Linked DNA regions of Mus musculus. The protein of the gene in region 2 binds, or shares a complex with, the protein of the main gene of each other region. Links are inferred from orthologs where the notes say so. Each region holds a gene or a part of one and is shown on either strand. Other genes may lie near its edges.

What was found. The genes of interacting proteins can lie anywhere in the genome.
Region 1: the proteins of Gba (region 2) and Scarb2 are in contact, whole or in part, in a cryo-EM structure (PDB 9FJF), measured with the Homo sapiens proteins. The link is inferred for Mus musculus from reciprocal best matches to the Homo sapiens genes GBA1 and SCARB2. Residues at the interface, in NP_000148.2 of Homo sapiens: Leu130, Asn131, Ala134, Ile169, Glu190, Lys194, Leu195, Pro430, Arg434, Ile445, Thr446, Asp448; in NP_005497.1 of Homo sapiens: Lys161, Ala162, Tyr163, Gln164, Lys181, Glu183, Leu187, Phe191, Arg192.

Annotation. Positions count from the first base shown.
Region 1 is NC_000071.6:92,442,925-92,447,297, reverse strand, and holds part of Scarb2 (lysosome membrane protein 2), read left to right. Parts: intron 1-835; coding exon 836-994; intron 995-3,013; coding exon 3,014-3,052; 3' UTR 3,053-4,373.
Region 2 is NC_000069.6:89,200,984-89,206,619, forward strand, and holds the start of Gba (lysosomal acid glucosylceramidase precursor), read left to right. Parts: upstream 1-1,944; 5' UTR 1,945-2,103; intron 2,104-2,208; exon of another isoform or gene 2,209-2,377; intron 2,378-2,488; 5' UTR 2,489-2,503; coding exon 2,504-2,558; intron 2,559-3,001; coding exon 3,002-3,193; intron 3,194-3,291; coding exon 3,292-3,438; intron 3,439-4,463; coding exon 4,464-4,597; intron 4,598-4,808; coding exon 4,809-4,981; intron 4,982-5,150; coding exon 5,151-5,385; intron 5,386-5,636. UniProt on the Homo sapiens protein: Glucosylceramidase that catalyzes, within the lysosomal compartment, the hydrolysis of glucosylceramides/GlcCers (such as beta-D-glucosyl-(1<->1')-N-acylsphing-4-enine) into free ceramides (such as N-acylsphing-4-enine) and glucose.

The sequences.
Region 1 (4,373 bases), on a different chromosome or scaffold from region 2:
CCATTCATTTACTCAGCCAGTATTAAGCACCTGCTGTGTACTGAGTACTCTCCCAGGTGCGAAGGTGGCTGAGCTGTCTTGCTTTCAGGGAACTGACAGTTACTGAACACAAACAAGTAAACTGTTATGCTGGTTTCAAGGACAAGGAACGAGGTTCTAGAGATAGCAACAAAAGCTCCTCTATCAGGCCTGAGGTAGCCAGAGACAATTCTAGAATGAAGAAATGCTAAGATGAATTTGGAGCGACCCATCTGACGCCAGGCAGAGGCTCCCATACCACTTATTTTTGTGTCGATGCAACAGAAGCAGCTTAAAGGAGAAAGGTTTATTATGGCTCGAGATTTCAGAAGGGCTTCAGTCTGTCGTGGCAAGGAGGCTATGTTGATGGGAGTGGTTGGCACAAGGCTGGAGTCACACCTCACTGGATCTAGAGGCAGTGCCACAAGTTGGAGGCCACCTTGGTCTACATTGTGAGTTCCAGGCTAGCCAGGGGTATAGAATGAGAGCCTATCTCAATATAAAATCCAAACAAACCAACAGACAAGAAAACAAAACCAGTCCTACAAGATGGTACCCAACATTTAAAACAGGAGCCTGTGGGGACATTTCAGACTCTAACGGTAACATATATTTTCTCTACATTTCTTAGCATCTTTCTCTATTTTCAGTCTATGATGAGTTATACTTGTCTTCAAGAGAAAATCGGTTGAGTAAACAAACGCCCTCTTTTGTTATTCTATGTGAATTCTCGGTATATATGGTTTGTTTGAAATGAGCACACACGCACACACGAGATAACTAGTCCTCAAGGTAATGCTATTTCTCCCCCTTCCAGAGTGTCCTCATTGACAAAGAGACCGCAAATCAACTGAAGTCTGTGATTAACACGACTTTGGTTGTCACCAACATACCCTACATCATTATGGCACTGGGTGTGTTCTTTGGCTTGGTTTTCACGTGGCTGGCGTGTCGAGGACAGGGGTCTATGGATGAGGTAAGTGCTGGGTGGAGGAATTGATCTTTTGTGGATATGTCTAGCTGAGGGATTCCTCAATAATCTATTGCATGGCTGCCAGCTGGCTCCTTTGGATAGACTTGGGGGGGTGGGGAGCACTGATTTTCACAGTTGCAGATGGACTGAGTGGTTTCCAGGGCTGGTATACATTGAGAAAGTCAGGGTGGGTGATAGAATGGAATGGTGCCATTTGGTGTTTGAGGGTCTCTTGATGGGTTTGGATACATCCCGTAGGAGGTAACTTCACATCTTTGAAAAAAATAGTGTGAAACAAGAATAGAAAACCTTAATCCCCTAAGCTTGGGTGCTGGACTGCCCGGGTTCAAATCCCAGTTCTACCAATAAACATCTATATGACCCTTAAAATGGCCTCAATTTCATCATCTGTAAAAGGAATGATAACAGAGTCTCCCTCATGAGTTTCTGGAGAGGATCAGATGATGTAGAAAGCATAGAGGATTTGACTCATTGTTTCTCAAGAAGCTTGGTTATTATATGTAATAAAAATAATTCCAATGTTGTAGAGAAAAGGGGCCAGAGACCACTTGTTAAGAATTCTTGGTATAAGCCGGGGCGGGGTGGCGCATACCTTTAATTCCAGCATTTGGGAGGCAGAGGCAGATTTCTGAGTTCGAGAGTTCGAGGCCAGCCTGGTCTACAGAGTGAGTTCCAGGACAGCCAGGGAGGGCTACACAGAGAAACCCTGTATCAAAAAACCAAAAAAAGAAAAGAAAAACCAAAAGAAAAAAAATCCTTGGTATATCTGGAGGTGTTATGGTTGAGATTCTGTAACAATGGTGAAAGGTGGTTGCATAAGAACCATTAATTTCCAGGAGGAATGGGATAAACCGGCTCAGATTGGCCTCTGAAGTGACCAGGAGTCTCATGGCTCCTGTAGAAGCCCTTCTGTTTCTATGGAATTAGAGGCTGAGGCAAGGGCCTGACACAAGCCAGGCACTCACTCTACCATGGAGACACATGCCTCGTCCTTAAAAACAAATGCATTTTGAGATGAGATCTCTCTGAGCTGCCTAGGTTGACCTTGAACTTGCTCTGTGGTCTAGCCAGGCCTTGAATTTGTGATCTTCACGCTTCAGCCTTCTCAGTGATGGATTACAGAGACCTGAACCACCAAGCCTGGCACAGACAGACACCCTTGAGTGCTTGGCAGTTTCTGCTTTTACTGCACACTTCTTCCCTTCAGTTATCCTTTAAACCATCTGAGCAGTGTGAAGCAGGAGATGAAGCTGGTTGAAACCAAATGGGTAACCATAGCTTGGAGGAAACCCATCTGTTATGTGGCTTTCACTCATGCTCGCCAGAGTTAGAAATAAGGCAAACTGCTTACCATTGCCACGTATGGATCTGCCAGTCTGTGTCATCAGCAGAATTTTCCTAGGTAAAAGCAGACCACCTAATAATGCTAATTAGCACCCCATAATCAATCTTCATGTCTTCCAAAAGTATTGGTGAGCATCTACAGCCTCTGAGACACTGCTCCCTGGTAGGTTACAAACCAGGAAGGAGGCAGTTTTGGTCCAGGATGCTAAGGGCTATAGTCCAGACCATACACAGAGAGGAGCTTGCAGATCTGGTACTGGGGGCTGGAGAGGAAAAGTTGTCCTCTAACAGGGTCGAGTTAGAGTCTTTTTTGTTGTTGTTGTTGTTTTTTGTTTTGTTTTGTTTTTTTTGTGACAGGGTTTCTCTGTGTAGCCCTGGCTGTCCTGGAACTCACTCTGTAGACCAGGCTGGCCTCAAACTCAGAAATCCACCTGCCTCTGCCTCCCAAGTGCTGGGATTAAAGGCATGCGCCACCACGCCCGGCCCGGGTTAGAGTCTTAAAGAGCAATGACAGCCAAGAGGAAGAGAAAAGTGGGGGAACTGCCTCCCCATCAGCTTCTCTTTTCACCTCTGCCACCTCGCCTCAACCCTTCACATCAGGACAGAAGTTCCTGACATGAACGTTTAACCTCTCTGTGTCTTCTCTGTCTGTCTCAGGGAACTGCAGATGAAAGAGCACCCCTCATACGAACCTAATGGGACTTACCTGTTGCCTGAGCTTGGTGAGAGAATGTGAGAGCTGCCCTGACCTGGACCAGGACAGGGGGAACCCTGCATCCTCATGGGCTCCTGGCCTGTCAAGAAGGAAACATAGCACTGGCAAGCGAGAAGCCCCTCCTGGTCAGAGGGAAATGAGCAGGGTGACATGGCTGGCAATTCTGCTTTATAAAATCGTGTCTCTAAAACTGTGTTCATGTGTCTAGGAAGTATTTAATAAACTTGTGTAGAAACTTTTTGTGGTTGGGCCCTGGGAGCTGAGGGGACTTCGTGACCCCCTGTTGTAGATACAATGTCTGAATCGCTTGTTAATGTTCCGTGGCCTGACCCGATTCAGTGTGCTTCATTCTCCAAACTTTGTGTTCAGAGTACGTATGTGTTTCTGTTGTTGTTCCCTGTTCACCTCCTTACACAGAAAGATGTGGTACCCAGGGTAGAATCACAGCTCCATACAGTGTACCAAGCAAATGGGGCTGCTTTCCTTCTGTAAAACATTACATTTTGTGTCTCGCTCTAATCTTCAGGAAAATAACTCAAGTCTTTTGATTGGTTTATAGTGTGTTAGGAATCAAGTAGGGGAAGGGATGGGGTGGGGTGGGGTGGTGTCTGTAAGTAGACAGCATTGAGCTCCTGAGGATTTTTAGTTGTGCTTTTGTGAAGCAAGAGGTTGCACTGGGAATGTTGGTGAGGGTAAGGCAGATATTTCATTTAGAATAGAGTTCAATGTTAGTTATGGCATCTAGAGGCTAACTGTCAATTTTAGTCAGAGATGTCTGGGTGTAGAATATGCTGCTGAGAGGACAGAATCAATGACTTCTAACCCCCTCCCTTCAGGCTTCTCTGCCACATAGGACAGTGACACGGAATGACAGTGTCTGCAAATATTGAGGGGTTATTTGTAAAATGACGAATGATGGAAGTCCATCTGCCCGTAGCTTACATTACAGATAGATCCAGGAAGTGTGCACAGGTTAGAGAGGCATTTCTTCTGGACCCAGCCGGTGCTTCGTGGCTCCCTGTCACTAAGTGCTCTCTGCTTCCTGTGACAATCACTTTTCTGACAGAGCGAGAAATGTTAGACTGCTAGTCAGAGGCACTTCAGATAAGGAGTCGAGCAGCCAGGCTGCTTCTCTTTGGAAGGCAATGGCTTCCGTGTAGGACTAAGGACATTAGTGTCACAGCCGTCAGACCTCAGCTATCCTGGAGGGCAGAGTCCATGATTCTCAGAGTCCACTATTTTGGGGTTGTTTGTTTGTTTTAGTTTTTATTTTTTTATTTTTTATCTTTTGGTGGCTTAGTT
Region 2 (5,636 bases):
AATGGTGTCAGCGTTTGGAAGCTGATTACGGGATGGATCCCCGGATATGGCAGTCTCTAGATGGTCCATCCTTTCATCACAGCTCCAAACTTTGTCTCTGTAACTCCTTCCATGGGTGTTTTGTTCCCAATTCTAAGAAGGGGCAAAGTGTCCACACTTTGGTCTTCATTCTTCTTGAGTTTAAAAAATATGGAACGCTTCACGAATTTGCGTGTCATCCTTGCGCAGGGGCCATGCTAATCTTTTCTGTATTGTTCCAATTTTAGTATATGTGTTGCCGAAGCGAGCACCCAGCTACTGATTCTTAAAGTGATAACCAAACAGTATATGATTGCCAGTTGCCAGGACTCAAACCAATGCAGCTCCAAGCAACTGTAATTTAAATATTGCCAGAGCTGAAGAAGATAACTAATCAATTTTTTAAAAAGGGTATGTGGTAATTATAAGAATGTAAAAACCTCACTCAGCAAGCATAAAGCTCCTAATGTGTAATTACAGACTTCCCTTGACTTCTCTTGCTAACGCTAGTAATGGTTCTGTGAGACTATGCTGGTGTCTATGTTGGGCAAGTGTGGAAACAGGCTCAGACTTCCCTTGACTTCTCTTGCTAACGCTAGTAATGGTTCTGTGAGACTATGCTGGTGTCTATGTTGGGCAAGTGTGGAAACAGGCTCAGAGACCTGGACTTAGTCAGATCACGCTGCATGTGTCACTGCCAATTAATCAACTTTATTGTGGCTCACAAGGAAACCCGGACGACAGCCCTCTTCTTGTGTCCACCAAAGACAGACAGCATTTTCCAGTTTCCTGGGAGGAAGGATGAAGAGCTTTCCAGCCAGCATCTGATGATAAAGCAAGAGAATCCAGAAACGGCCAGTGGGGACCACTCCCTCCCTTGGTCCTGATCTCCAGAGCCCGACAGCAACTCCCTGCACTTACTGTGACTCCCCCCCCCCCCCCCCCCCGCCTGTTCTTCTGGGAAGGGTCCCCTTTCCTCTCAAGGAGTCTTGCAAGTATACCTCTCAACATTTCTGTCTGTCTTCGCCTGTAACTCCGTGTAAGTGTCTGACTCATGTGTCTCACTAGTCTTTTTAGGATAAAGATTGTGTGTATGTGGGGTTTGTTGTTGTTTTTCGAGATAGGGTTTCCCTGTGTAACAGGACTGGCTGTCCTGGAAATTGCCCCATAGACCAGGCTGGCCTTGAACTCACAGGGATCCGCCTGCCTTTTCCTCCCAAGTGCTGGATTTAAAGGCATGTGCCACCAATTCCAGGCTGTATGTGGGGTTTCTAAATTTTGTTTTTATTTATTTTTATTTTTTTAAAAGATTTTATTTGGGGTTGGAGAGATGGCTCAGTGGTTAAGAGCAGTGACTGCTCTTCCAGAGGTCTGGAGTGTCTGAAGACAGCTTACATATAATAAATAAATAAATATTTTCTTTAAAATATTTATTTATTTATTTTTTATATATATGACGAGTACCCTGTAGCTGTCTTCAGACACCAGAAGAAGGCGTCAGATCCCATTACAGATGGTTGTGAGCCACCATGTGGTTGCTGGGAATTGAACTCAGGACCTCTGGAAGAGCAGTCAGTGCTCTTAACCGCTGAGCTATCTCTCCAGCCCCTTGTTTTTATTTTTAAATTTTATTTTTAAATTATGTATATCTGTGTGTCGGTATGTGCATGTGAATACAGTGGCCCTCACAGGCTAGAAGTCCTCTCTGTCTTGGATTTAGGAGCCTCTACTCAGCTGTCCATACAATCCTTGTTAGAATTCTCTTCCTAAAGGTGTCATCCTTTAGGCCTCCCCAAAATTCACAGGGTATGCAATGAATGACTAACCTAGAAGAGCCCAACTGCCCATTACAAATATGGCTTCGATTGCTTCACTTCCTGCATCACGTGACCGGCTTAGTCATCATGTGACTCTGTCCGCCCCTTTAAGCCGGAAGGAACTTGCTGTGCTAGTCGGTTCCAAGAGCTATGATATCTGTCTGTGTTTTATTTGGTAGGTCTTCTATCCCTCCAAGGCACAGAAACTTCCACAGTCTTCTCATTCGCTGGTCCTGAGTAGCTCCAGTTTCCAAGATCTTCTGGAGAGGTAAGCGGGCAGGGCTACAATTTGCCTTGTCAATCTTGCTTCGGGAATTCTGCCTATCTAGATTATGGAATTCGGTGAGTTCAATTTTTTTTTTTTTAAATTCAGGGCATCATGGCTCTTTGAGGGCACAGATGGAGGGAGGGCTGAAGGTTGAAATCGATGGGGGAAAAGAGTGAAGAGAGTCTTCTTTGGAGTGGGCAGCAAACTCCCTAGCAGAGTGAATGAATGCAGGACGCCTCCAGGGTCTACGGGCACTGTCTAATCACTAATAAAGGTGGGAGCCTATGCTGTGAGCATCCACAGGCAGCTAAACTCTGGCCAGGAGGGTGGTTGCAGGGTAGAGAGAGTCTTACACTATTATCTTTCCTCTACATTTTCTTCTCAGAAGTGTGCTGGTGTCATGGCTGCCAGGCTCATCGGATTCTTCCTATTTCAGGCGGTATCTTGGGCATATGGTGAGTCTAGGATGGAGATGGAGGCATGAAGGTGTCCCCTGCCCCCAAAGTCCTCTGGTAGCCTTCCATTATGGTGCTGAAATTTCAGTAGGGACTCTGTAACTCTTTTAGAATGCCTGAGACATCTTTGGGCTGGGAGTATGGTGGAAGGATTTTTTTAAAAAAATATTTATTTATTTATTATATGTAAGTACACTGTAGCTGTCTTCAGACACACCAGAAGAGGGCGTCAGATCTCGTTACAGATGGTTGTGAGCCACCATGTGGTTACTGGGATTTGAACTCCAGACCTTTGGAAGAGCAGTCGGGTGCTCTTACCCACTGAGCCATCTCACCAGCCCGGATTTTTTTTTTTTTAATTGTTGTTCTGTCTCGTACCTAGCATGCCCACTCCCTCATAAACCCGCTTTGATGCCTGCCTCTGCTTGTGCCCTGCCTCCTAGGTGCCCAACCCTGCATCCCCAAAAGCTTTGGCTACAGCTCAGTGGTCTGTGTCTGTAATGCATCGTACTGTGACTCTCTTGACCCCGTGACCTTACCGGCTCTGGGTACCTTCAGCCGTTACGAGAGCACTCGACGTGGACGTCGGATGGAGCTGAGTGTCGGGGCCATCCAGGCCAATCGCACTGGCACAGGTAGCCACTTTATCTGTCCCTCTAAGCCTGGACCCAAAGTCACACCAGTGATCAGCATGTCCTCTTCTGGACTCTGACTTTTCCTCTTCTTTTCCCAGGGTTACTACTCACTTTGCAGCCAGAAAAGAAGTTCCAGAAAGTGAAAGGATTTGGAGGCGCCATGACAGACGCCACTGCGCTCAACATCCTTGCTTTGTCCCCACCTACTCAGAAGCTGCTACTCAGATCCTACTTCTCTACCAACGGTGAGGAGGGCAGAGCAAGGTGGTACACTGTAACTTATGCCCCTTTTCATACCCTGGCTTTATTTTATTTTTAAATTTTTTATTACATTTCATTATCTCTTGTGTGTGCTGTGCATGAGTGAGGGGGAGGTCAGAGGACAATTTTCGGGTGTCCACTGTCCACCATGGGACCCATGGGCTAGAGTCGGGGGTCTTCCCACGGAGCTGTCTTGCCAGGCTTTTTGCTCTTGCTTCCATACTTTTCCCGGACATTTGCCTCCCTTCCTTTTCTTCTCTCCTCGCCTCTGTAATGCTCCTGGAGTAGACCTCATGTGTTCCAGACAAATCTACTGTGTAGTCAGTGATGGCTGAACTCCTGCCTCTCGTCTCCTGAGTGTTGGAATTACAGGTGTGCATTAGCAAGCCCAGTTCACACAGTGTTGGAGCTCAAACTTAGGGCGCCATGCATCCTTGGCAGGCATTCTGCCACCTGAACTACATCCCCAGCCTGCCTCTCAGTTCTTACTCTTTCCCTTTGTCCCATCCCTACCTTGCTTTACCAGGCTTGCCTCGAACACTGTAGCCATGACTAGCCTCGAACTCTTTTCTGACTTAGTTTTCCAAGTGCTGGAATTACAAGTATTATGCCACCAAGTGTACCAGGCCGATGGTTCCTGACTCAGTGCCACTGAAATACGATCACCTTTTTCAATATTCTGCTAAGTACTTAGGAAATACATGTGCAGAGGGGCTTCGGTTTCACTTAGGTTCTGGTCTCCACAAGCCCACACCTAGACCCTGGCTCTGAATGAGGGCCTATTGAGGACTAATAACTGATTAAAGCCAATTTTCATACTCACCTTGTTTTATTTTATTTTATCTTATCTTATTTTGAGACAGGGTCTTGCCTTGTAGCCCTGGCTGGCCTGCTCACATTGATCTGGCTGCCTCAGCCTCAGGAGGAATGGGATCACAGGCATGGTACACTTGGCTCCATAGTCTCCTATTGATTCAGATCTCCCTATCTTGGCCATCAATTCCTGCAGGAATTGAATATAACATCATCCGGGTACCCATGGCCAGTTGTGACTTCTCCATCCGTGTCTATACCTATGCTGACACCCCTAACGACTTCCAGTTATCCAACTTCAGCCTCCCAGAAGAAGACACCAAGCTCAAGGTGGGCATTCTAGTTGCCTCAGCCCTATTGGATTGCCGTCTTGGGGCTGGGAAGGTCCAGGTTAGAGCTGTCTCTAGAGCAACATGGAACATTCTGCAGCCTATTTGACTTGGGGGTAAGAGGGTGGGGGCTGATGGTTGGACCTGATGCACTGGTAGAACTAGTATGTGTTCCAGCTCTGGGTGTCTCTCTCTTCACTGTTTGTCTCCAGATACCCCTGATTCACCAAGCCCTGAAGATGTCCTCACGCCCCATTTCACTCTTTGCCAGTCCCTGGACATCACCCACTTGGCTCAAGACCAATGGAAGAGTGAATGGGAAGGGGTCGCTCAAGGGTCAGCCAGGGGATATCTTTCACCAGACCTGGGCCAATTACTTTGTCAAGTAAGGGATCGTCAGGGCCCTGGGATCTGGACACCGTAGTCTACATCGTATCCCTTGACCTGCTCCACTTTCAACATTCCATGCCTTTCAGTTTGTTAGTTTTACCTATTGCCCATGTCTTGGTCCACTTTCTTGGCCCTGATCACTCAGGCCCTTTCTCTCTTGCCAGGTTTCTGGATGCTTATGCTAAGTATGGCCTAAGATTCTGGGCAGTGACAGCGGAGAATGAACCTACAGCAGGGCTCTTCACGGGGTACCCCTTCCAGTGCCTGGGCTTCACTCCTGAACACCAGAGAGACTTCATTTCCCGTGACCTAGGGCCAGCCCTTGCCAACAGTTCCCATGATGTGAAGCTACTCATGCTAGATGACCAACGCTTGCTGCTACCCCGCTGGGCAGAGGTGGTAAGCGCTAGAACTTCCCAGGGTGTCCCAATGGACTCCAGATCTACCATCCAAAATGACTGGCTCCAATTTTAGAGTACGTTCCCTGGTGCCAGGGTTGAGATAGGGTCTTGTTATATAAACTCGGCTGGCCTTGAAGTTGTGTTCATGCTTTGACTCGTAAGTGCTGGGATTGTAAGCATCTACCACTCCTGACTTCTACTAATTAATTAATTGATTGTTTGATTTTTGAGACAACAGGATCTCACCAG